7 linked regions of the Xenopus tropicalis genome follow. The protein of the gene in region 2 interacts with the protein of the main gene of each other region in a biochemical or structural test. Links are inferred from orthologs where the notes say so. Each region holds a gene or a part of one and is shown on either strand. Other genes may lie near its edges. The genes, in order: nedd4, snca, plk2, nedd4l, ensa, cryab and siah2.

Region 1 (3,500 bases), on a different chromosome or scaffold from region 2:
GATTTGAAATATGATATCTCAGAGAGAATAACTTGTAACTGTATTATTTGTTGTTCATAAAATAAGAAAGTTGGTCAAGTGGCTAAATACTGTTCAAATGCACAGCACCTGTTCCCTTAAGTTTTTGTGGGGTCTTTAACTTCTAGGTATATCTCTGTAAATAGGACTCTAAAATTGTTATACTAGCTTAAACACGATATGTGATAGAACTGGCAACATACCTCCAGCTCATTTTCATCAAATATTTTTATCAGGTCTTGCGGGATCAGTTCAAAGAAACCCTTAAAATGAATGAAATCATATTAAAAAAGAAAATAAATTACCTATATTCCTAATTTGTCAAACCTAATAAAATGAATTTTCCCTCTGCTGCACCTTGTTGTGCCTATCACTGTAAATGTACTGAAATTATTCCACAATAAACATATTTAAGGTTAAGACTCCTAGGCCGTTCAGAGAAAATTATACTTTTGCGTTGAACTGACAGTGACCCTGTTAAACATAGGAACCCATTGAGCATAACTTAAGTGCCCCAGTGATAGCTCTTTGTACCACCCCCCTGCACACTAGGCTGTTATTTTTTTTATTATCTTATTTGCCTTCCAGGTCTCCCAAATGGAGAGAAACAGAGGGATGTGCAGCTCCAGCAACTGGACAGTATGAATGCCAGAGGTTATTACACAAACAACACTGTAATTTTATTGGTGATACTGATATTCTTATTTATTGCAATTTTTATCCATATCAGTATCCTGCAGCCCGCTAACAGGTTCTGGTCACTGCCACATATGTTTGAATACATTGTAATAAGTGACTAGGTGAAGGCAAACCATCACACCTAGATACAGTACAAAGATCACACATTAAACATAATTTGAACATTATTTACCTCTTTGAATGCAGCCATCTGTTTTTGAACTCTGTTCATAAACCTCCACTGAATAACAAGACTGCATAAAAGAAACAGCAGGAATTTACTTCCAGAACAAAAATAACTTATTCTAATGCTGAATATGAACCTTACTGTTCGGCAAATATAAATAGGCAGAATGTAAATGTATTTGAGTTGAGCACCCACGTAGCAGCAGTTTGGGTTTAAAGCTTGCTAGTTTATTACTGTTAATACTGTTATCAATAAATGGTTCTAAAACTGCATTGCTTGGCATAGTGCACTCAATACTGCCCTGTATTTATAAAATAAAAGTTTAGTCCCAACATAAATTTTACTTACCGCAGCTATGGGCTGCTCGGAGCTAACGCAATAAACAAAAATATGCAGATACATAAGGTACCCTATGTAGAATATCTCATCTTAAGGGTTATAAATAATTTAACTCACATATAATAATAGGGATAAAAGTAGGGATGAACTGGGTTTATAATGGGGTCAAATATAGAGTCTGCCACAAAAAAAAAACACTAAGCACTGAACCTAATCCTGATTTGCTTATTTAAATTTGAGCAGAAAAGCAAATTATGTCATCTGGAAAAACTTAACCACCTTCATTTGGCCACTGTACAATCTGCCCTGCTGGCAGGTAAAGCGTTAAAGGCAAAGAAAACTTGAGTGGAAGATATTACATAGTTATCTAAGAAATTCTTCAAAAGCAACAAACCAAAATTGGAACACATGCATTGAGTGCTTCTCCTATTAAAGCCAACAGGGAAATGACAAGAAGTATTTCCTATACATCATACTATGCAATGCACACTTACTGTATGTACTCTTTTTTGTTCTTGTTTGTGACTAAGATTTGTGAACCACCAGCCTTCAACTCATGTTGATGTGTCTATCAAAAAGTTACAAATTCAACATCAATAATCTCTACAAGCCTACTACATGTTAACACATTTATAACTCATTGTAGAGATATATTTATAAGAAATATGGCTTTTCCCCCACCTGTCCAAAAAGTTCCTCATCAACAGTGAAGCACAGATCTAAACCTGAAGGATCATTTTCTAGTATCCACTGGAGGGAATTGTAATATTCACTGTCCTGATAAATAGATAATAAAAGTGCAGTTTAGACAAAAGGCAAGAATCATGCCAGTTGCAGATCCAACATACTTACAATAAGGGGGCATTTATTAACATTCAGATTTTAGAGATTTTATGACTAAAACACATTTTCACAAGCACTACTTTTTCGAACTGTCATACAAAAGCCAGTGTCAAAAAGACCCATAAAAACCTCTAAAACCACGAATCAAAGATCTTCCAGTTGTAAAAGGGACATCTGATCTTGACAGGTTTTAGATGGCTTATTTTTGCTTTCAGGTTTGTCGTGATTTGTCACATAATAGATAGCGGAAAAAAATGTGTTCTTTTTTCTCCACAACAAAATTGTATCTTGGTGTCAAAAAACCTGAACCAAAAAAACTGGGTGGTAGTAAATGTCCCCTTAAAGGAGAAGCAAAGTAAGGTATCTTACTTCCTCTCTCAGAAAAATCCTTAATTGCCTTGGGCAGAGTCTGCGCAGTTCTCTCCTTTCTCCCCTCTCCTGTCCCCCCTCCCTTAGGAATGGGTGATGTGAGCTAGACTGCAAACAGGAAGCTGTTTAAAATGGCAGCTGCTGTCTTAAGCAAACAAAGAAAGCTTCTAGGGCTCTTTACTCAGGTATGGCAATGCTTCCTGCAGAATAAATATATTGTTCTAGGTGGCACTAATGTGGCAAATTGGCTGTAAAATGCCAAAATGACTTTCCTTCTCCTTTAAGTGTGTGACAATCATAACATATCCTTTATGCCAGCAGCAGTCCCTTGGTTATAATATATAAACTAAAAACTCTTTCAGTAAACTACCCAACTTACATCTTCTCTACTATTATTGCTAGCATAGGCTTAACAAAGATCATACCGACGATGAGTGGTACAAGCCAGGTTATCGGGATTCAGCTAAATCTGAGTTCTGAAAAATCCTAGATTATGTGCATCCCTAACTGTTATTGTTGAACCTGAAAATTAAGGTTCCTGAATGCCTTTAAGGATTGGCTTGAAAAATCCAGCTTTTGGTGTTGCCTAAAATATATACTTGCTCAGTCCTCTCTGCACTTGAAGTACTGATTTGTTCCTATTTTCATATACAACTTCCTCAAATTTCATATTTTCGAATTTCATATTTATTTACTACATATTGTGTGCAGCTTGAAAAAGCAAAATTTTATAAAAAAAAGAATCTGTCATTTTACTCAAAATATCTGTCTTTCCAGCTATTCAACTCTCAATGTTTTTCTCTATATAAATATATATATATATATATATATATATATGTGTGTGTGTGTGTGTGAAAACTAAAGAAACAGTAGAAACATACATCAGTATAATTAACAAATAGGGCAAATAAAACATACCACAGACTCCATGTCATACAATATAATTGGTTTTTGGAGCATCATTTTGTAAAATGGGCGAATAAAAAATGCTGTAAAAGAAAATAAAATTGATATATTTATTAGTATAACCACACAGTCCTTTCTGTATAAACATTTACAACTATAC
Region 2 (4,063 bases):
GACTATAAATATGTGCACTGTGCAAACTTTATTCTATGTACATATTTTAATTTTAAAGGACACGTGAACCCCCCACAAACATGTAATAAGTAAGCAGCCTCTTTGAAATATTTAACTACATGTCACTCTTGTTGTTAAAAGGTTAATAGTAAGGCTGCAGCATCCCGTTAATCACTTAGGATTCCTTCTTCTTCTGTAACCCACTCAGCCCCCTTCCTCAGGAATATGCTTTGACTGTTGGCTACTGGGCATGCTCAGTTCTTCTCAACTCAGATTACTAGACTCTCCAGTCTAGCAGACAATTAGGAGATGGCATTGCTGGTTCCCATAGAAGCTCTGCTCTAGCTGTCTGCTTCTATTTTTCTCCTAGCCATGTCTTCTGAGCTCAGATTAAACATTAGAGTGCTCAAACCAACCAAAAATGTTTATCAAAGTAAGTTTTGCCTGTGTAAGCCTGCAGTCTCAGTTGCATGAATTTTACAGCATAAAGTTGCTGTTTGCAAATACATCACTAATAATGGCGGGTGGGTGAAAGCTACTATCTGTTTTAGGAAAATAATATGGTGCTGGTGAACTTTGGGGATATATGCAGTACAAATGATGCTGTCTGAGTGAGGGAGATGTACCCAAATTATATACATAATAGGAACATGTAGGGTTTACACAAGAGAACTAAGGACATTTAGTTTTGTGTTATTATTAAAATGTAGTGTACTGGACCACAACTCAGGTCTTTTGTAGGTTTCAGGGGGCAGTGTGTCCCATAATCTTCCCTAGTTGACCTTTCTGGTCTGGTTCCTATGCCTCTTTCCTTTGCCTGAGCACTTGGAGAACTATATTGATGTGTTCACCCTTCTATTTTACAGATCTGTAGAATATATTGAACTATGTTCTTTCTATCCCTCTCCCTAATTTTTTAATTGTCATTATAAAGAGTAGCATTTAAATTTAGTCATTATTTATTTGTATTGTGTAAATTAGATTTGCAATATACCTTCAAAAGAAACAACACTTTGTAAAATCATAATGTAAAGAATATGTGTAACAGGCTACAATGTGATTAGAACTGGGCAATCTATTATCAAGCCTACAGTTTCTGTAGTGGTCTGTCTTGTGGCTTACAAAACTGTACAGTGGGCTATTGCTTCTAAAACAGACATGTATGGGATTTACCACCAAGGAGATCCTCTGTGATCTCCAGGGGTTACAGATCCATTCTGCCATGGACAACTACTGCTACAAACTTCTACACAATAAACAAATGTTAAAGGGTATTTGCATTTGTATTCCAAGGACACGGAAGACAAATGATAGATCCTATTGTGTTTTTTGCAGGGTGATGAAAAATGGAGATAAGGATTGTAATTGAACAGATGACATTATATTGATTAGTTTTTTACCTACCTACGTAGAGAACACCCTCTTTTGTCTTTCCTGCTGCTTCTGCCACTCCCTGTTTGGTTTTTTCTGCAGCTGCCACAACACCCTCTTTAGCTTTAGAAAGCCCTTTCATGAATACATCCATAGCTAATAAATTTATTCTAGTGGCTCTGCAAAAGACAAATGCATACAAACACATTAGGACAGGTCATTTGATTATAGTGTAACTCATTACATTTGAACAGCATCTACAAAATAAAATATCTGTAACTGATTAGTATAGGATTTAAAAAACAATCTCTCGGTGCAACCCTTGTCTATCCTTAATCAGTCCAATCAGCAAGATATGCTATATATATGTATTATATTGCCAAAAATGGATTTCTGAAACATGAAACGCCATTTGTCTAATACTTCTTTACTACATTACAACATGCAACAGAGTATTTCAACAGGACGAGTCGGTCTATGATGGTAGTATTTTACAAAGGTCTGTAACTTACCAAAATATTGTAAATAATAATGCAATAGCTGTTGTCAGGATGAAAAAGCTTTACAATAATTATTTTTAATCCAACAAAAACTTTATTCTTAAGGAAAAAAGATAATCCCTGTTGTTAAAATGTACCTAATTATTTAAGATGTTTGATAGGTGATGAAGATCAAAGTGTATGTATGTCTGTGATTGTGAGAGTCTCTCTTTATACAGATATGTATGAGTGTGTGTGCAAGAATGAATATTTGAGTGTGTTTGTATGCAAGAGTGGTGCTGTGTATGTGTGAGAGAGTTTGTGTGGGGGTGGTTGAGGGAGAGTCAGAGAAAGGGAATGGGAGAGAAACAGACACAATATACCGTACTTCACACAGGCAAAAAGATTAAAGATAAAATTGAGCATTTAACCCACAGAAACCTTCATACTTCCTATTCTCCTTATATAAGACAAACAACCATGTGCATCATTCTCCGTTGCATTAAGGACACAGGTGACAAGCTATCCCGTGAGCAACTGTCAGCTGCTTAAACTAGGTCTGGGTGAAAATGCCAGATAGAACATTTAAAAAAGCTCATAGTGAGCAGAATAAATACACTTAATATCCTACATGGCATGTTATATAGATGTAAATGCAATACTTACATTAACCTTTGCTCCCCAAAATTAGTCCAACAGGAATGATATCTGTGCGTGTATAAACAATAAAAAAGGAATCAAGTCTCTTCTTCAGTACATAACTGCCAAATAAATCCCCTGAGAGGTATGTGCATATGTAACAACCTGATGGAATCAAAGCATTCAAAGCAGGTACCAGAGAAACCACACCTATCAGCTCTTCATAAACAGAAGGAATTTTAGAAGGGGTAAAAAATAAGAGATTAATACTTTTACTCAGTAGGAGCAACCTATGTCCTCCGTATTTTTCTTCCCTTCCCCTACACCCTCCACACCTCCCTCCTCCCGTCTTTCCTTTCCACATGCCTGATTTGTCAGTGTGAAAATTGAATAATCGTAGCCAGCCTCCCCAAGCTGGACCACTTGTAATCCGACTGCTGCTCGAGCAAACAATGAGAACCATTATCAACAGAAATATTTGAGATTAAGAGGTCTGCCTTGCATCGGAAAATTATTGTTCCCGTCACCTTCATTTGTAATGTAGGTGCTGGAAAGCAACAATCAAATCTGCCCACAAAACACCACCAACAAAAAAGAGTAATATCGTCTACTACAGACATGCAAATGATCTGCTACCTTACCCTAGCAGCTGCTGTATGCCTGCTGTGCTGAATTATTTATTGCTAAATATCTGCACTTGCCACAATAAATATTTCTTACAACAAGCTTGCAGTCACTAAGGTGATAGCAGATATGTAACAGGCAAGCATTTAAGCGCTCTCTCCAATTACTAATGACAGTAAGAAGAGAAGAATAACACTAAACAGCTAAAATATTACAAAGCCTTACCAAAACTGAATTCTAGTATTTACTATATTATGTAGATGGTTCCTTTCAACCCAGGGAATTGGTCAGTGGAAGGACAATGTAATTATGCCCTAAATACTCCAATTCATAACTGTAACTAAAGAATGTGGAACCTTTAGATAATTACATTTTGCAGACCCATTCTGGTTACTGGTAATGATAACATCTTATTATCAACCTTATCCACAATAATTCATTCTGACCATTATCCATGCACTGCTATGAAATGCTATAAGATCAGCAACCAGTTTCATTCCTAAAAAACAGGAGTACTATTATTATCATCCCTTATTTACATATTATATATATATATATATATATATATATATATATAGTAGTAAGAAACCAGGAAAACAAATAAATCCCTTGGGAAACTACAACCAAATGGTACCCAGTAGAGAATCAATCTATTTTTCCAACACAGCAAGGCTTCCAAGCTAATTTAAGTGCTCATTTTCTAATCCCCAGGTTACATGTGCAAGAGTGCGACACTTAATGCCTTTTTGCACTTTACACAATGTATTGTGTGTGTGGTACAGTACATAACCCCTTTGTTATTCAAGAAAGCTACAACGACAGAGGAATAATTCACAGAATTGTTCTGAAGATTCTTCTGTTGGAGGAGAGGTGTCTTTTAAAACAATATGCAAAAAGTACAACTAGCACAAGCCCTACTAATTGAACTCATGTTAAACAAGGGGGTATGT
Region 3 (4,221 bases), about 110 Mb from region 2:
TCCCACTGTTTAACTATATTAACCCCTCATATGACAGCTGATTTCATAGTCTGTTCTTTTATAAGGTAATCAAATTGATGTATATCAGTCCACAGCAAATAGTGTATATTGCTGCAATCAGTATAGAGGAAGGATAAGATTGAGATTTAGTACAGCCATTGGAGAACTGAAGCTATATTAAAGGAAGCATGCAAAAAACATTTTCAATTATTTACCTAATTTTAAATCCCGGTGGAGGATCTCTTGCGCATGGAGATATTTCAGACCAGAGACAATTTGCTTGAGGTAGTATCTCACTTCAGGGTCTGTCAACACTTTTCTTGTCTTTAGAATGTGGGCCATGGACTGGAGGGGCAAGAGAATACATGATAAGCACGGGTTCTGTCACAGTGAAGACCCCCCCCAAGGCTCACAACATCTAATAGCAAAGCTGTGCAAAGGGTTAAAAGGCAGCGACGTACCCGTCTACTGCAGTACTCCAGTAATATGTAGATGTTCTCTTTGTCTTCAAAATAGTGATAGAACTGTACGACGTGCCGGTGATTCAGGGTTCTGTGCAATTCGATCTCTTTATCAATCTACAAATTCAAAGAAATATGATTTAATATATTTGCTCCACTCGTGCAGCTGGAACCATAAAAGCCTGCTCTTGGTGCTTTTTTCCACTAGAATATCTACCTTTTCCCTTTGGTGAGGCTTGGACACTCTGCTGTGCGGGATGATTTTAGCAGCATATATTTTGTTTGTTGTCAAATCTGTCATTTCATAGCATTTCGCAAATCCACCCTGGAAAAGAAGCCAGAAACCCAAAATCTTAATTAAAAAGGAAGGTGTCGCTCTCACAAGCATTATTACTGGCTGCCAATTAATGAGGCTGCTTAACAGAGGATTATTTCCTTAAAGATTCCCATACTAATGATGCCACACACCTTCATCATAAATACTCCGGTAGCGCAAAGGGTGGTATTTAATGCCAATAAAGAGCAGGGAGCACCTTGAAATGCTTGGGCTTAATTCTAAACCATTATATTAACATATATATACATACAAACATGAGCAGATTTATTAGACACCAGACATTTCATGTCATTATTCCATAAACATTTGAACTGTGGGACTTTCTTTAAACCCCAAAACAATAAATATTGACCTGTTGCTCTGCCAAACCAGAATACAACTTTAAATATAAAATAGTTAATTTGTGGTTCCTCCAGTGCGAAACTGACATTGGGGATGCAATAAATGCCTACAGTGACATATTGACATCTCAAGCACAGAGATTGCCATGGATGTGAGCACTTCTTTAATCACAATATGGGGAATCAGAAAACTGAGGGCAAACAGATGGGGTTTCACTGCCTTGTGCCAGACAATATAACACAATGCATATTTTGCTTTATGACAGACGTTGGCATTCAGAAGAAATGGGTTACTTTCCATAGGGGTCACAGAGGAATTGCTGTTTTAGCTCACTATCAGACAAAGGGGATGCACAAGTGACAGGGATACTGCTCATATTCACACAATGGGAATTTAGAAGATGTGGGTACAATGCCCTGAATCCCTGGAGATACAGAAGGGGCTAATGTCTGGCATAGAGTATAGGTGGGAATACTGCCCTGAACCCAAACCAGAAATAAAGAAGACACTGACAATACACAACATTGGAGAAAATGGTTTATATCAGATGCACAATAAGCATAATACTTGTTTTCAGACACTTGGGGTGCTCAAGAGGTGGGGTGCTGCCATATATCAGACAATAGGGCTGCAGAAGGGGTGGGATACTGACTCATACCAGACAATGGGGGTCCAAGAGAGACTGGGGTGCTGCCTTATGCCAGACAATAGGGATGAATTTGAGGACGGTACTGACTTATACCAGACAATGGGGGTCCAAGAGAGACTGGGGTGCTGCCATATATCAGACAATAGGGATGAATTTGAGGACGGTACTGACTTATACCAGACAATGGGGGTTCAAGAGGGACTGGGGTGCTGCCATATGCCAGACAATAGGGATGAATTTGAGGATGGTACTGACTGACCAGACAGTGGGGGTCCAGGAAAGATTGGGGTGTTGTTTTATATGCCAGACAATAGGGACACTTTCTTATTCCAAACAATAGGGGTGCAGGAGAGGTTGGGTGCTGCCATTTGCCAGACAATAGGGGTGCAGAAGGTGTGCCAGTTTCATATACCAGACAATGGGGTTGCACAAGAGGTTGGGGTGCTGCCATATGCCAGACAATAGGGATGCAGAAGAGGTGAGATTTTGGGATGGCAGATTCTGTGGGTGCAGGATTGGCACCGGGGTATCCCCAACAAGAGCCCAAGTGATGCCCAATGGAGATCCAACACTGGCACTTCTCTCTCAGACACAACATGGCACATAGAAGCACACAAAGGCTTCATTTCTGACAGGGAGCAGTAATGCACAGGAATTCCTCTCTGGGCCAATCATTCTCCGGGTATCAATAAGGCAAAAGCCTCCTCCAGCCGCATTAGTGCCAAGTGTACCCATGCTACACAGGGTGCCTGATCAATTACCTTGCCAAGCACTTTGCCCCTGCAGTAGCGCCTCCCTGTGCCAGGGTCGGTTATAATCCTGGAGACCTCAGTGGCAGAGCAGGTGTGATGAATGGGCTCCCCATCGGCCGGTACCTTCCACCTCCTGTTGCTGTCACACACCCTGCCCAGCGCCTGTTCGCACATCTTGCCCCCGCTGCTTGGTTGATAAGCGATATTCCTCAGTAATTCCATAACCCCTCAAACAACCTACTCCTGCCGCTGCGGGACTCCGCTCTGCTCGGCTCTCAGGCAGGCATCCCCTTTTTATCACTTGTGGCACGCCCCCTGTGTGACGCCGCTGCTAAAGAGACTCGCCCTCTCCCGGTCATTGTCTGGGCATATCCCCCGGAGCGTCGATACTGCTGCTCAGCGCCTGGATACCCGTGTCGCTCATTTACCGTCCCTTTTAGTTCATTGGAATTTCTGTAGCGCCAACATATTCTGCAGTGCAGTTTAACAGCAACATTATGGATTCAAGGCAGCTTTACATGAGGGCAGGAATATACCATTTAGTGAATGAAAAAACCTGTAGGGTTTCAAACACATTGACTTAGTGCTGAGAGTTGTAGTTGTTAGTTTTCAACTCTGACATTTAAAGGCTGACATGTCAATAAACTGCATACATGGGCGCCTTATTCACCTCAGCTGCTGCAGAACCTCTTGTGCAGAAGAGCTGTCAATCAGATGCTCTGTGACTGCAGGGCCATAGCTAGCCAGTCCTACTCATACTACTAATGGGGGGCCCTGGGACTGACAGCTCTGCACCCCAAAGGCCATAATATGAAATGAGGGAAAGGGAGGCTGCCCAAGTACAGCTGTGCCCCCCCCCCCCAGAGATTTCCTGTTTGGGGAGCAGAGAGGATGTTTTGCATTTCCCTGTGTCTCAGTGCCCTGGGCAATCACTTGTCATGAGAGGGAGCCACCAACATTTGTACCCCAACCACAAGCCTTCTGCCCCCACCACCATGTGCCCAGGGAGCCTGGGTGGCAGGGAGAAGGAGGGTGAGTGTCCCTCAGGCTAAAGGTGCAGGTATGTGAGTGGGACTGTAGGCAGGAGGGTGAGTGTCCCTCAGGCTAAAGGTGCAGGTATGTGAGTGGGAGTGTAGGCAGGAGGGTGAGTGTCCCTCAGGCTAAAGGTGCAGGTATGTGAGTGTGGGACTGTAGGCAGGAGGGTGAGTGTCCCTCAGGTTAAAGGTGCAGGTATGTGAGTGGGAGTGTAGGCAGGAGGGTGAGTGTCCCTCAGGCTTAAGGTGCAGGTATGTGAGTGGGACTGTAGGCAGGAGGGTGAGTGTCCCTCAGGCTAAAGGTGCAGGTATGTGAGTGGGAGTGTAGGCAGGAGGGTGAGTGTCCCTCAGGCTAAAGGTGCAGGTATGTGAGTGGGACTGTAGGCAGGAGGGTGAGTGTCCCTCAGGCTAAAGGTGCAGGTATGTGAGTGGGACTGTAGGCAGGAGGGTGAGTGTCCCTCAGGCTAAAGGTGCAGGTATGTGAGTGGGACTGTAGGCAGGAGGGTGAGTGTCCCTCAGGCTAAAGGTGCAGGTATGTGAGTGTGGGACTGTAGGCAGGAGGGTGAGTGTCCCTCAGGCTAAAGGTGCAGGTATGTGAGTGTGGGACTGTAGGCAGGAGGGCGAGTGTCCCTCAGGCTAAAGGTGC
Region 4 (4,070 bases), about 120 Mb from region 2:
GTTGACGTGTCCCTGAAACTGCTGTGCCTATATAGCCGATATTGGCAACCTGTAGGTAGGGATATGTGGAGAAGATCCGCCCGCTTGGCAACCTCGCCAAACAAGTGCCGTGTATGGCCACCTTTAGATATACCTGATACTGATAGAGGATGTCTTATATATGTGGGGCTTTTTTATGAGCTAAGGGGATGCATAAGGGCCCCCAACTCTATCAATCTAAAGAGCTCTGCCCTAATAATAATGATTTTAGTGTAAATCCTGTGCTGCAATCTGCTGCTGGGCTACGCCACATACATAACCTACATACAGCTTAATCTGACAATGTTATTTACAGTAATATATATATAACCTGGGCAGAGCTGCTGCCAGTGTCAAGTACCCACACAGTGAGGTGGGCGCATATAGAGAGAGGGGAGGCACCACTCCCTTAGCCCAGAATTCAAGCTTTCGAATGAATTCCTGCACAAATGTCAGCGCTTGGCTGAAAAAGAAATGCCCTGCAGGAGCCTCACCTCCAACTCCCGGGCGCACATACCATGTGCACTATGCATTCCATAGGCGTCACACACTGAGCCAACACCCACAGCAGGTACCGGGGGCACCTGAAATCATTCAAACAGGGACCATAGAGTAATATTGCCCAGAGAACTGGTAGTGCCCCTGGCACTATAGGTAGTTGGCGCCTCTGCATTCTAGCAATAGCAGCTCAGACTCACCCCCCACCCCCACAACACACCCAGATACACCACCAGATACACCACCACCCCCAGCTGGTTTAGTTCATTTAAACTATTCAATCAGGCATTGGCACTTTACAATATATATATATATATATATATATATAGCCACTAGTATGATGCCAGCTTGCAATACTGCCCATATGACCAAGCAATACAAAGAGGGGGCTCTTCCCCATGCTGCAGTGCCAATGCTGTGCCAGACTGACGGGATGCCAAACAGCAGTATTCCTGGCATGCCAATGTACATATAAGCAGTTGAACTCCCGGGATGTTGCCCAGCCGCAGCCAGTCACACAGATGCCAGTACTACAGATGGTCCCAAACTGCCTCAACCAGCAGTACTTATGGGATGCCAACAGGGTACTTATGGGATGCCAACAGGGTACTTATGGGATGCCAACAGGGTACTTATGGGATGCCAACAGGTTACTGATGGGAAGCCAGCCTTCCTGCCCAAGCAGTATACAGGGTGCCAGCCTTCATGCCCAAGCAGTATACAGGGTGCCAGCCTTCATGCCCAAGCAGTATACAGGGTGCCAGCCTTCATGCCCAAGCAGTATACAGGGTGCCAGCCTTCATGCCCAAGCAGTATACAGGGTTCCAGCCTTCATGCCCAAGCAGTATACAGTGTGCCAGCCTTCCTGCCCAAGCAGTATACAGTGTGCCAGCCTTCTTGCCCAAGCAGTATACAGGGTGCCCAGCCTTCATGCCCAAGCAGTATACAGGGTGCCAGCCTTCATGCCCAAGCAGTATACAGGGTTCCAGCCTTCATGCCCAAGCAGTATACAGGGTGCCAGCCTTCATGCCCAAGCAGTATACAGGGTGCCAGCCTTCATGCCCAAGCAGTATACAGGGTGCCAGCCTTCATGCCCAAGCAGTATACAGGGTGCCCAGCCTTCATGCCCAAGCAGTATACAGGGTGCCCAGCCTTCATGCCCAAGCAGTATACAGGGTGCCAGCCTTCATGCCCAAGCAGTATACAGGGTGCCAGCCTTCATGCCCAAGCAGTATACAGGGTGCCAGCCTTCATGCCCAAGCAGTATACAGGGTGCCCAGCCTTCATGCCCAAGCAGTATACAGGGTGCCCAGCCTTCATGCCCAAGCAGTATACAGGGTGCCCAGCCTTCATGCCCAAGCAGTATACAGGGTGCCCAGCCTACATGCCCAAGCAGTATACAGGGTGCCCAGCCTTCATGCCCAAGCAGTATACAGGGTGCCCAGCCTTCATGCCCAAGCAGTATACAGGGTGCCAGCCTTCATGCCCAAGCAGTATACAGGGTGGGTGCCACCGGCAGTATAGATAGGGTGGGTGCCAGCCCCCTTTGATTTACAGGCTACTGATGGGATGCCAACATACACAGGGTGCCAGTGACAGTATAGATAGGGTGGGTGCTAGACCATTCTGATTTACAGGGCTATGGGATGCCAGCCTCTCCTTCTCACATGTACTTAGGGATGCCAGCCTTGCCCAGCAGTATGCCAGCCTTGCCCAGCTGTATGCCAGCCTTGCCCAGCTGTATGCCAGCCTTGCCCAGCAGTATGCCAGCCTTGCCCAGCAGTATGCCAGCCTTGCCCAGCAGTATGCCAGCCTTTCCCAGCAGTATGCCAGCCTTGCCCAGCAGTATGCCAGCCTTGCCCAGCAGTATGCCAGCCTGCTGCACCTAACAGCACTGGTACCAATGGCACTACCTATTCTCACTGACCCACCATTGGGAGATGCCAGGCAATTCCTGTATGAGTTCTGCCCAATGACAGAAGCTACTGCCCCTATGCCAGTCTGGGCGAAGTGTTGCCCCTTCAGCTGGCAGCTGTGGTTGGACGGCCTCTGCTTGCCCCCCTGTGCCACCCACACAATTAAAGAGACACAAACATGTACTTACATCGTCTTCTGAGAGTCCATAAATGGGTTCAGCCGCCATGGGGAGAGTTGGGGTGCAATTACCCCTAATCCTTTGCGCACAGTAGATGGGAAACAATAGGAGGGCGCTGGCCAGCTGCCGCTCACTAGGTGCCTATTCCGGGTATAAGGTCCGTGCCGGTGCCGGCGGGTAGAGAGGAAGAGCCAGACCCGCCACTCACACGATGTCCCCCCGATCCCTGTCAGGCACAGTCCCAGTTCTCACACAAACGCACACGGGCCCCGCCCACCCAGCGCCAATCAGGAGCCGCCCAGCCCAGAGAGGCGTGGCCAGGGCTCAGGGACGCTCAATGAAAGTGGGGAGGGGCAGGGCGCCGGGGAAGTTCGGTTGAATCGCTCCTCACAGTCAGTGTCATGGGACCGTCCGGCCGCTCTGAGGCTTTTCCTCTGCTGCTGGGACAAACAGGAAGCTTGGGAAATGTAGTAGGAAACAGCTGAAGGGATGCTGGTAGTTGTAGTCAGGAGCAGGAGGGCGGCAGGTTGGATGTGCCAGTGTGTGTGTGAGGGAGGAAGCGCAGTGTGCAGCCTTTCCCTGTCCCTGATCCAACAGCGCCGTCTGCTGGAGACTGAGAGAGAGGCGGCGTCTGTGTCAGGAAGCAGTGACCTGCACCTATAGCCTCTAGCTCCTAGTGTGTCTGTAGCAATAAACAAACACTGCTTTTATTTGGAATTATATATACCTTTAGGGTGAAGTCACACTGAGCTACTAGTAGCAGCTACTAAACTCCAGAAACTCTCCTGCCATAGACAATACTGAGAATTGTCTCTGCTAAGACACACAAAGAGACGATTATCAGTAAATGATCAGCATTGGCTATTTTAGTAGCCATGACAAGTAGCTGCTACTAGTAGCTCCGTGTGTCTTCACACTTAAGGGCTCTGGCACACGGGGGAGATTAGTCGCCCGCGGCAAAACTCCCTGTTCGCGGGCGACTAATCTCCCCGAGTTGCCATGACCCGCCATCCCGCCGGCGAACATGTAAGTCACCGGTGGGATGGCACACACGGCGGCGCGATTTCCCGAAATCGCCGGAAAAGACTCACAAGTCTTTTCCACCAGCGACTTCTGTTGTTGCCAGTGGAAAAGCATTTCAGAGTTGATAGTCACCTGCAGTAGCAGAGATCTATCACAGGTGACTTAATCGCCCCATGGGCCACCAACCTAAGAAATGTAATCATGGTAGGATAGGATCTGTGCCACTGTGACAGAATGCTCTGTTATACAGATAGCTAGAATCTCAGCCATAAAGCAGGGCAGGACTGCTGCTTACAATGGGGGGATCAGATAGGATCTGTGCCACTGTGACAGAATGCCCTGTTATACAGATAGCTAGAATCTCAGCCATAAAGCAGGGCAGGACTGCTGCTTACAATGGGGGGATCAGATAGGATCTGTGCCACTGTGACAGAAT
Region 5 (3,500 bases), on a different chromosome or scaffold from region 2:
ATGGGATAGTTTGGGATAGTATACTATATAATCTAGTGTAAACTGCTAGAGAAATTACACTGTAAGCTTCACTAAGGCAGCGTGCTGTGTAATACAGATACATTTCTGTTTGAACTTAGTCTCTTATGATTAGGCTCTATTTTGAGTTTAATAGATGGTGTCCAAATGGTTCTGGCATATCGTTACAGGAAGGATAGCAGGGAGTATGGGAGGGAGGCTTCCTAATAATCTCAGCAGACAAGGAAGGAACTGAGACAGAAGGAATGGATTTGAAGGATAAAAATATTTAGTTATGCGGCTAAGGCCTGTGGCACTGAGGTCTCCAGTAACCCAAGCCCTGCTCTAGGGTTAGAAGTGACCACATAGTGGCTGTCATAGGCTTTTATTGGTACAATTCCCATTACATTACATTAACATTTATTTATAAAGCGCCAACATATTCCGCAGCGCTGTACAATAAGTGGGTTACATACATTGGACATACAGAGTAACATATAAAGCAATCAATAACCGATACAAGAGGTGAAGAGAGCCCTGCCCAAAAGAGCTTACAATCTACAAATTTAAATAAGCATGGGATGGAAGCTTAGAGATTATGGAATACTCCTTTTGGGGGGGGGGGGGGGGGGGATACCTGGTGACACAGGTGGCTCCCAACTGCCATGTAGTTTACTTCTTTTACTTCATACTGAGGGCAATAGCGAGGGTGTTTTTGATGCCTTGCGTCGGGGAGCAGTTGCAATGAAGCACAATATACAGGTGGGCAGGCACCCGTGGGCTGCCCCTTAGGCATGGGCTCATTGGTGCAACCCTGCCTACCTGCTCTATGATAAATACAGAATTCACTAAAAAAAGACCCCAACCCGGCCAATAGATACTAAATGGCACAGCTGAGTTGTGTGTGTGGGGGGGTAACTTCCTGTCCTATGATTAGCACAGGATATATGAGCCTTATCGGAAGAACCCAGTACGTAGCAAGCCTGGATACTTGTACAGATATATCTTTTTGCTTTCCTACAAACTTCTACCCCAGAAGGGTACAGAAACTATAAATATGCAGTGTATACTCCATTTTCCCCGTATCTGTTGCTCGGTTCCAGCATGATACATCGGTAGCGCTCATAATCTTGACAAGAGTTTTCCATCTTAGCTCTCTAATGAGCGTGGAGGGATAAATTAATAGCTCAGTCACTGTGACAGCAGCACCTGTGCTCCCCCGGGAACATCCGAAATTCCTGCATTGACGGGCATGCTTGGGAGCCACGACTACTAACCACGTCCTCTTAAATGTGGTTTTTCCATTGCCAAGGGGGGGGGGAAAAATTCGCTCAGCAAATCTCTCTTGGTTTTCTGGCAGCTGTTTACCTTGCTTAACAACCTGAATTTCCAATTGCTTTGAGTAGTGGGGGCGATTGTCAGCTTGGTGTTGTTTTTCACATCCAAAGGGATGAAAAAATAAAGACTCATATACCGTAGGAGATATATATGTATGTAAGTCCTCCTTGTTGCATTCCTTTACCCCGGGGCTTTAGAATAACAGCTGCAGGTGTGTAGTTTTGCAAGCAGATCTAGCAATTTGTGTGGGGCTGCATTTTCAGCCTGTGGTGGCCCATCATGCCATGGATCTGTGCATGGAAACTGACAAGAGCGGCTCTCATTCGTGCCCTGAAATGCTTACTCTTTCTTTTTATATGTATGTGGGGGTTTGGGTCACTGAATCATCCCATCATGGTTCTGCTATAATTTCTTATATACGTGACTAATAAACCTTTTTTTAGTTTTCTTATGTGTGTATTGAGGCCCAGACTCTGTGCCCTTGTAATATTTGTATCTTATCAGTATATAAACAAACTACATGTTGCAGCAAGCGCTGACGGCAGCTACCTGTGGCGGAGAGGAATGCTCCCAATGCAGGAAAAATTAGTTTATTAGGTATTGTAAGAGCTTTGCCAGAGGCAGTTTTTTTTTTCAATCTAGACCTATTTAAAGGGACATATCCCTACCCAACAACTAAATTGCTAAACATGTTCTTCTGATCGCTTTCATGATATTAGCAGTTTTATACTGCCACACCTAGCGGTGTCTTCTAACACTGTTCAGTTGTAGTCACTGAGCGATAGAACTGAACAGAGAGTTACACTGAGACGACAGCTACAGCTGGATACAGAATTGGGTTTTTAAATATCGCATACAAACCATATACTACATAACAGGTAATTGTCTTCCTCTCTGGATAGTAAGTATAGTTGGCTCTTCATGGCAACAGGGGAACAGCATCAAAGCTGTTCCAACCAGGGCTCGATGCGGCCATTCAGGAGTATTTTCAAGCCCATAGATATTTCAGCACAACTGATAATCAGCTCATTGATTCTGCGTATCCAGTATATGAGAAGGAAATGTGATTCGCCACTCTTTGCTTTCTTGCTAAATGAATACATGAAATAATTAGGGCAAGTTCATGCTTTTTGGGAAACGCACAAAGATACAGGGAGAATGTACAACACTTATCATATAGCGCCCACAACGGCGTCAGAACAAGGACCTCAGCGCTGAAAGGCAGGAATGCCAGCCACTGAGCCACCATGCAGCCACATTAAGTCCTCAGTCTGTCAGGAAGCAATAATATTTTTATCAATAATACAGTTTACTAAAGTGATTTAAGTCACTTCAAGTGCTAATGTGCCACGAAACTCTGGATATGATCGCATCATACTTTAACTGCTCTTTTATGGACAATATTGTAAATATTTGGTGTACTATTGTGAAGCTGGCCATACACGTACACATTTAGTCTTCGGATATCAGTCGTATATTTAAATGCAACTAAGATTCAGACTGAAATTGTAGGATAAAGCCCTTAAAGTACAAATCAGAGGATGTTCTGAACATGAAATAGTTGGCAGGCACCATCATACCAAAGTGACTTCCATTGTAGGTCCCCCAAGGATATTGTCAGATACACAATACATGCGCAGATTTTATCGTTATGTGACCAAGATTTTCTATCCTGTCCTATTGGCTAAACAACTGTTTGCCAAGGTAGGAAAATTATCGGGACTATAATTTGGAGCCCTCGCTGCCCAAAAAATCAATTGTACGATTTTATCAGTAAGTGTATGGCCAGCTTGCGCTTTTCAGTATAGCTTGGTAGAGAGATGTTTGGGAATGATCATATACTATATGGTGAGAGTAAAAAGAACATTCCCGACCCGCACCCATTGCACTTACGTTTGTGTTTCAGGACTCGCAAGAAAAGGAAGCGGTGACTCCAGAAAAAGCAGAGGAGCAAAAATTGAAAGCCAAATATCCCAATTTAGGACAGAAACCTGGAGGTTCAGACTTCCTGATGAAAAGGCTTCAAAAAGGAGTAAGTAAAGGGATTTTTGTTGGCTCTGGGTGTGTTTGAACTGTTCCTCAAGCATGCTTAGGCCTTTAATGGGTTAATACTAAATGTCCCTGCAGAATGAGTCTGAACCCAGTAGAACAGCCATGGCTGGCCT
Region 6 (4,096 bases), on a different chromosome or scaffold from region 2:
CTATACAGGGAGAAAGTGGTACAGGTTTGTATTGGGTGGTAAGTGTTAACAGTGGCTGGACTGGGGCAAATAGTGGACATGGTTTTACTGGGGAAACATATCTGAGATGGCTATATTGGGTAAATCGCAGAGGTGATTGGAGGTAAATAGAAATAAGAAGAAATTGCAGAAGTGATTATATGTAGGGTTAATGATAAAGCTGGTAGATCTAGCTGTAATGAGAGAAAGTTGGTTATATTATGTGAAATTAAAACAGATGGGTGTATAGGGGGAAAAGGCAGGGATGGCTGTACAGGAAAGAAATGGCACGGGTGTGTATACTGGGGGAAATATCAGAGATGACCATATTGTGGGAAAAAAATAAAATACGTGTGCTACAAAAATGTGATATATAAGGAAGTAATGGTAAATACTGATGTACTCTGGAAATTTGCAGAGCTGTCTGTAGTGGATAAAATAGCAGAGACTTGCAAATGACATGAAAAACTGAATCTGGAGAAAATGGAAACAGATAGAGCTAACCCCGCATCCTCATTTTTAACAGCTACAGTATTTTACTGAAATAAATAATAGTGGTTTAATCATTTAAAAATAAGGGATACTTTGTTAGCCATTAGATTAGCCTTAAGCCGTACCGCAACCTCACCTTTTATGTAAAGAACCTTTATCCCCCACCTTTTACTCTATAACTTTTCAAGTGGGTAACAAGATCCAAACACACTGTTTATTGTTCATTTTTAAAGCATATTTTTTCAAATAAAATTTCAAAAACATTATCTAAAAGCTGTATCTGTGGTTCTAAGTAGAACTGTGGGTGCTTAGGGAAGCTTACTTTTTTATAAGCAAAATATGATTCAGCTTTAGTTTGGTGTTTGAACAAACCAAAGAAAATTGGTGCATGCAAACTATTTGTACTTTTACTTAATGTGGTTACAGTATCAACATTTGGGAGCATCACATTTCCAAACTGAATTAGATGTAAACTTTGCAGGCGACTGGGTGTGTGTTGCTAACAGCCGTAGGTTATAACTGAAGGCACTACAGTGACTGCAATCACATTCACATCATTAATCAAAAGTCAAGCTATAACGGCCAGGAGTTTAGCTTTTAATATTGCTGTTTTAGAGCTATATTTATGAAAGTTTATAAAAAGCATATTTTTGTTTTAAAAAGTATTATTTCACTTTTGGCTTTTATTAGAAAATGTCTGATTTTTTTCCACCACTTTTTGTGAGCTGGGTGTTCCCCACTTTTTACCCTATCAGGAAATGTTAACTAAGATTTAAAGTAACTTCCATATTTGACACCAAAGGCCAGGAAGGGTGCTACAAATAGCAGGACACAGGGTCCCTGGTAAAAGGGGCTTAGTGGTGGTCATTTTATGGGCTCTTTAGGCCTCAGGTGCTTGATGGAACTCAAGGAACTCAAAACCTTCCCAGAAAGTATTAGGAGGGCTGATATTTGGTGACTTGTGGTATCAGCAAACATGTCTCAGCCCAGGAACAAAGCTGCTCTTAATCTACCACTGGGGGAAGTTTTATTTGAGTGCAGCAGAACCTTAACTACACAGAGCTGCTGCATACAGCAACACTCACAGCAATTCTAGACACTGTTAGAAACTCCATATCAACACTATTTACAGAGTTTAGTGCTTTAAAAAATGTTTTCCTATCCACCACTTTTCTTCTGTAAGAGTACAGTGTATAATTAGATAAGATGTTTCAAATGGCACAGGAATATAATCTGACCACAGAATAAATGAATATAACTGTTCTATAGTCTTTTTCTTTTCCAATATGTTTGTTTTAATTACCTAGTGCTCTGTTTAAGACATTTGTTTGAGCCAATATTATCTTAATATTCAATTGGAAATATTTGTCAAATGGTGTTACTATAATTGGTGGTAAAATGATTACTTTAACATATTACTAGCCACTCTACACACCTTTACTCTTTAAAGAAACTCAGTTAATTACATTGATTTGTTGCATTTACATTGATTAATCAGCATCCTTTGTAAATGTATCTATTTGTACTGTGAATGTAGAAAAACACAAACTTTGGATGAATATTTCCATTGAATTTACTTGCCCTTTTCCTTATAAGCATTATAAGATCTGACTGGGCAATGCAAAAAAGTTAATTGTACTCTTAAACCTCCCAGGCCTCCCTCTAGGCTCAGCATTTTGCAGGTTTAAAAAGAAAACTACCTCAGACAGTCCGCTGTCTATCCAGTTTGGAAGCCTGGAGAAGGGGTATCTGAAGAAGAAGGGTGATACACTGGAAGTTGGGAAAAGTTCAGCCTCGTGAAGGTGTTCCCCAAAATTCTGATCAAAGATCCTATTTGGTCCAAAGAATGAGTAAAAGTGACGACGGAACCAAGGATGCTGGATGGCTACATCCATTTTCTTGCTGCTTGTGGCTACTATGAAAGAAAAAGCTCAAGGTCTGAGTTAGCCAATGGACCTAGAGCTCTTATATATAATGGACTGCCAGTCAGCTCCACCCTTGCACCCAAACATTGAACCTTCTGGAAAATTGATGTCAGGTGATTTCATTATTCAACCATGCTCGTCTGCCCCCATTCAGCAGAGTGCTGTTGGATATGTGCCATGACAAATTCTCTATTCACTCTCCAGCCCACTGGATCAGCAAGAAGAGATGCTGATTATCGTTCTGTTTACTTTCCGACTTCTGTGCTTTTTGGCTCAACAGATCTATTCAGCCACTCTCCTGTAACTTGACAAGGATGATTTCATGCCCAGATCTGACAGCTGATAGTGTAATTGATTTAATCCGTAATACTCTAGAAACATCCAACCCTTTTCCAGCTTCCTACAGGGTGCGTATAGACTAGAACAACTTCATTCTTGTAATATGTAGCATTACTGGCAGAGGGGGAGTTAAATGCCTACATGGGTGTGATCATTGCTGACAAAGAAGCTAAATATACACGCAGTGTGCAATTATTATTTTATTATAATGTTATTCATATCTTTCTAGGTTAGTCATCAGGTTAAACAATTAACATGTTAAATATGTTTATGTTGTAAATCAAAACTTTTCATCACAGAGTTTGTGACACCAACTTCTGATCAGCAAATAATGTAGAAAGCTAAAAGGTCCAGTCCAAGAAACCTTCATTTTCCTCTATACTGCCATACTTTACTGCCATTACCTTTTACTATGATAAATCACTCAGTGGCTAAAGTTGATCACATATCGACAAACTTCCAGAACATCATAGATTAACCAGGCATTTGCTCTATTTGGTCGCACTTGTGGATGGCTAAATTGCATTGATCTAACTAATGGATCTGCGGGTAAGATTGTTAAACAGAAATGTGGGTTCATGTAGTTCTGGCACAGCAGGTGTCACCATTTTAGGGTATAACTGGCCACACACTGATCAGCAGGGAAATGTCACAGACTGACAATGACAAGTTTTTTTGTTTTTTTTTTAACATTTTCTTTATTGCATTTTTCAAAAATTTTGCATAGAGCAAACAAAGAGAAGGAAAGAATGAGGAAATAAGAGAAGAAGAATAGTGTAGATAGGGGGGAAAGGGGGGGGGGTGTTTTTGGGCTTCCTTACTTATCAAGTGCATTACTGACTTTGTCTTACATTTGTCCCATGGCCTTTTATTATGTTCTTAATAAAGAAGCTATTAATTAAAACTGCTGGTCCAGTGTCCGTTAATTGTGTCCATTTGTTATGTCCATGCCCCTGTTTTGGGTCCATGCTGATGTACCCTTTTATTATATCCAGTTTGTGGTGGCATTCAGGGTTGATGTATGTCTTTCAGCCAATTGTCCCATATCTTGTTAAATTTGTCTGGGCATCTCCTAGCCAGATATGTTAGCTTTTGACTGGGAAGGGTGTCGTTAATTTAAAGTTGCCTTCCAGGTCATTAAGATTGCTTTTTTGGCGAAATGTAGAATTTGGAGGAGGCATAGTTCATCGTATTTGTTAAGTGATAGTCCTTCCATGTGTCCAAGTAGGCATAAAGTTGGAGAACAGATATTTGGGACTGTGGCGCTGCAAGTCAGTACCTCTGACCAAAATCATTGGATTTCAGTGCAGTCCCAAAAAATA
Region 7 (2,784 bases), on a different chromosome or scaffold from region 2:
TGCTGCTATTAAACAACCAGTTAATAAGCTTACTGGCTAATATATGGAGCCAAAACAGCAATTGATATCTGACTGGAGGCAAGTCCAATATCAATTGGGCTACCTGTAAGGGCAGGGGCACACATAGTGGATTGTCTACTTTCCTCTGCCTGCGCTTTGTACACAGACACACGAAAGCAGATCTGCTTTCATGTGCTCACTCCTGTAGCTCCATTGACAAGCCTGGAGTGGCCTGTTTGTAGCAACACAGAGCATGTATTGCAATAAAAACATAAAAGTATGCATTTTCGCAACAATATCTGCTCTGTGCAGCTCCCCACAGGCCGACACCAGGCCAGTCTGTGTAGTTACAGGAGTGAGCGCATGAAACTGCTTTTTCCTGTACAAAATCCAGGACTGCTCTGTATGCCCCTGCCCTAAAATCCTGGCAGGTAAGGATTTATTTGGGCTATGGATGCAGTCTTTTTCTTCCAGCATAATTCATCATATTGAACCTTAATTTTAAGTGGAAGGTAAAGGCAAAAATGTAGCCCCATTCTGTCTAAAGACAAGCAACTTTAAAAATTTAATTGAGTTACCAGCAGTTACTATCTTTCCTACATTTACAGTAAACTGTATCATATAATAAATTTGTATTGGACAGTAACGTCTAACATATTGCAAAGTGAAGTAATCATTTTTCAGTCATCATATATTTTATGTTTTGCCTTTGTTTTTTTTCCTCTTTCTGAAACTTAACATGCCATCTGGTTTCAGCAGCCAGAGAGCTAATTGATTGGAGATGTTAGATTTTTAGCATTTTTTATTACTTTACTGTTAGGGCAAGCATTCAACAAAACAACTTTTTAGGAACAGTTTAAATTCTGTGAGAGCTGCAGGATGTAAAATGAAGTTAAAATATAAAAGGTCAGTTAAAAAATGCCTTAGAATGTTATTATCTGTAACAAACGTGAAACTATAAAATTAATGAATATTATCTTTGTTTTCACTTGTAGTATGCTTCTACTGGATGCTCTCTATCTCTCCATCACACTGAGAAGCCAGAACATGAGGACATCTGTGAATACCGGCCATACTCCTGCCCTTGTCCCGGAGCGTCCTGTAAATGGCAGGGATCATTGGAAAATGTTATGCAGCACCTTACCCACTCCCACAAGAGCATCACCACCCTTCAGGGAGAAGATATAGTTTTCCTTGCAACAGACATTAACCTGCCTGGTGCTGTCGATTGGGTGATGATGCAGTACTGTTTTAACCACCATTTTATGTTGGTGCTGGAGAAACAGGAGAAGTATGAGGGACACCAGCAGTTCTTTGCCATTGTCCTCCTTATAGGCACACGAAAGCAAGCTGAGAATTATGCCTACAGACTTGAACTCAATGGAAACCGGAGGCGCTTGACATGGGAAGCTACGCCAAGGTCCATCCATGACGGGGTAGCTGCCGCAATCATGAACAGTGATTGCTTAGTTTTTGATACTGCAATTGCACACTTGTTTGCAGACAATGGAAACTTGGGCATCAATGTAACCATATCCACATGTTGTCCATGATACTTTGTTTTGTGATCGCTGTGAAAAAGTTATTTAATGGGCTATATTTGAATAGAGTACAGTTTGCATTTTTTTTCCTACAAAATGGACTTGAAACATCACTTCGTAAAGACCCTAAATATTCTCTTCTATATATTTTTAACTTTGGGGAGTGCCAGATCGCTGTTCAATAACTTCCCTACACTCCTCTTGCACTTTAAGAGTTAGAGGCTCTATGTTCGTGTGAAACATTGTAAGATGACATCATACAAATATTTGTTATATTTTCTTATAAAAAGCGTTAATGACAGCTTTGATTGTTTAGCATAGGCAGAAATCATAAGCTTCAAATATTGCACATTGTCTTAAACAATTGAAATTTGACAAGCATTTTTTTGCTTTTTACATTGACTGTGGATGGTAAAATAATAATTGTACACACAATAAGCTATACCTATGTACTAATGTCAGGACATTCATTCTACAAAGAAAGGGGGGGAGTTCTGCACTTCTCTCATGGCCAAATTTATTTAAGGAAAATGGGAAAATTCTCAACTCCAGAATAACAAATATATCAATTGATATATTGTACAAATGTTGTTTTCTGATATAGATGTACTTTAGTGCTAAATCAGTCTGTTTGCAGGGAGTAAATCCCAGGGGCGATGCTTTAACATCTCCACTTCTGCATTGCAAAGCTGAAGAAATGGCAGGTTAGTGTGTCTGGCAAATGTTTCCATCCACTCTGTTGTTTTAATTTAGTGGTGTGTGTGCGCTACAAACATTTCAGTCTCTGTATTCTTCATTGACACAATGAAACAGCCCCAATAGCTGCTGTACAGGGATATAGATAATGGTGCTGCTCTTTCTGTCTATGGAGAATCCCACTTCAGAGGCCTTCAGCAATGCAGCTTTTATGCAGCATAAATACTCTGTCCTTGTTGTAATGTACACTGTACAAGATATGGCTTTTTTTAAATGCATATTTAAGGGAGCTTTTTTTTTTTTTATCAATTTTACTTACTTTCTCAGTTTAGTTCTGCTGCAAGTGCTTTGAAACATATCTTTGTGTGGAAGATAAACCCTACTTATAAACTGTTCCTTTAAAGGGATACCCTCTTTAGCAGTGCTGTAAGCCAAAAGTGAACCCCCTTGTGTTTTCCATATGAATATTTTTTTTTCAGCACTGTATTTACTGATCTTTGCCTAAGGCAAATAAGCTGTGCCATTTTAACTTGTAGTTTCATGCAAG

The links.
Region 1: of the proteins of snca (region 2) and nedd4, one has a biochemical effect on the other in vitro, tested with the Homo sapiens proteins (3 studies listed by BioGRID). The link is inferred for Xenopus tropicalis from reciprocal best matches to the Homo sapiens genes SNCA and NEDD4.
Region 3: of the proteins of snca (region 2) and plk2, one has a biochemical effect on the other in vitro, tested with the Homo sapiens proteins (2 studies listed by BioGRID). The link is inferred for Xenopus tropicalis from reciprocal best matches to the Homo sapiens genes SNCA and PLK2.
Region 4: of the proteins of snca (region 2) and nedd4l, one has a biochemical effect on the other in vitro, tested with the Homo sapiens proteins (3 studies listed by BioGRID). The link is inferred for Xenopus tropicalis from reciprocal best matches to the Homo sapiens genes SNCA and NEDD4L.
Region 5: the proteins of snca (region 2) and ensa form a complex in vitro, tested with the Homo sapiens proteins (2 studies listed by BioGRID, with this or other methods). The link is inferred for Xenopus tropicalis from reciprocal best matches to the Homo sapiens genes SNCA and ENSA.
Region 6: the proteins of snca (region 2) and cryab form a complex in vitro, tested with the Homo sapiens proteins (4 studies listed by BioGRID, with this or other methods). The link is inferred for Xenopus tropicalis from reciprocal best matches to the Homo sapiens genes SNCA and CRYAB.
Region 7: of the proteins of snca (region 2) and siah2, one has a biochemical effect on the other in vitro, tested with the Homo sapiens proteins (4 studies listed by BioGRID). The link is inferred for Xenopus tropicalis from reciprocal best matches to the Homo sapiens genes SNCA and SIAH2.

What each region holds. Positions count from the first base shown.
Region 1 is NC_030679.2:100,490,819-100,494,318, reverse strand, and holds part of nedd4 (E3 ubiquitin-protein ligase NEDD4), read right to left. Parts: intron 3,424-3,500; coding exon 3,353-3,423; intron 2,000-3,352; coding exon 1,904-1,999; intron 1,791-1,903; coding exon 1,717-1,790; intron 951-1,716; coding exon 890-950; intron 282-889; coding exon 222-281; intron 1-221. UniProt on the Homo sapiens protein: E3 ubiquitin-protein ligase which accepts ubiquitin from an E2 ubiquitin-conjugating enzyme in the form of a thioester and then directly transfers the ubiquitin to targeted substrates. Specifically ubiquitinates 'Lys-63' in target proteins.
Region 2 is NC_030677.2:78,431,608-78,435,670, reverse strand, and holds the start of snca (alpha-synuclein), read right to left. Parts: upstream 2,801-4,063; 5' UTR 2,517-2,800; intron 2,115-2,516; exon of another isoform or gene 2,009-2,114; intron 1,969-2,008; exon of another isoform or gene 1,884-1,968; intron 1,551-1,883; 5' UTR 1,526-1,550; coding exon 1,405-1,525; intron 1-1,404. UniProt on the Homo sapiens protein: Neuronal protein that plays several roles in synaptic activity such as regulation of synaptic vesicle trafficking and subsequent neurotransmitter release.
Region 3 is NC_030677.2:190,391,809-190,396,029, reverse strand, and holds the start of plk2 (serine/threonine-protein kinase PLK2), read right to left. Parts: upstream 2,801-4,221; 5' UTR 2,764-2,800; coding exon 2,551-2,763; intron 787-2,550; coding exon 679-786; intron 579-678; coding exon 462-578; intron 346-461; coding exon 216-345; intron 1-215.
Region 4 is NC_030677.2:201,923,176-201,927,245, forward strand, and holds the start of nedd4l (E3 ubiquitin-protein ligase NEDD4-like), read right to left. Parts: upstream 2,801-4,070; 5' UTR 2,660-2,800; coding exon 2,621-2,659; intron 1-2,620. UniProt on the Homo sapiens protein: E3 ubiquitin-protein ligase that mediates the polyubiquitination of lysine and cysteine residues on target proteins and is thereby implicated in the regulation of various signaling pathways including autophagy, innate immunity or DNA repair.
Region 5 is NC_030684.2:127,177,953-127,181,452, forward strand, and holds part of ensa (alpha-endosulfine), read left to right. Parts: intron 1-3,241; coding exon 3,242-3,367; intron 3,368-3,500. UniProt on the Homo sapiens protein: Protein phosphatase inhibitor that specifically inhibits protein phosphatase 2A (PP2A) during mitosis.
Region 6 is NC_030683.2:84,501,356-84,505,451, forward strand, and holds the start of cryab (alpha-crystallin B chain), read right to left. Parts: upstream 2,801-4,096; 5' UTR 2,406-2,800; coding exon 2,211-2,405; intron 1-2,210. UniProt on the Homo sapiens protein: May contribute to the transparency and refractive index of the lens. Has chaperone-like activity, preventing aggregation of various proteins under a wide range of stress conditions.
Region 7 is NC_030681.2:118,287,556-118,290,339, forward strand, and holds part of siah2 (E3 ubiquitin-protein ligase SIAH2), read left to right. Parts: intron 1-995; coding exon 996-1,553; 3' UTR 1,554-2,784. UniProt on the Homo sapiens protein: E3 ubiquitin-protein ligase that mediates ubiquitination and subsequent proteasomal degradation of target proteins.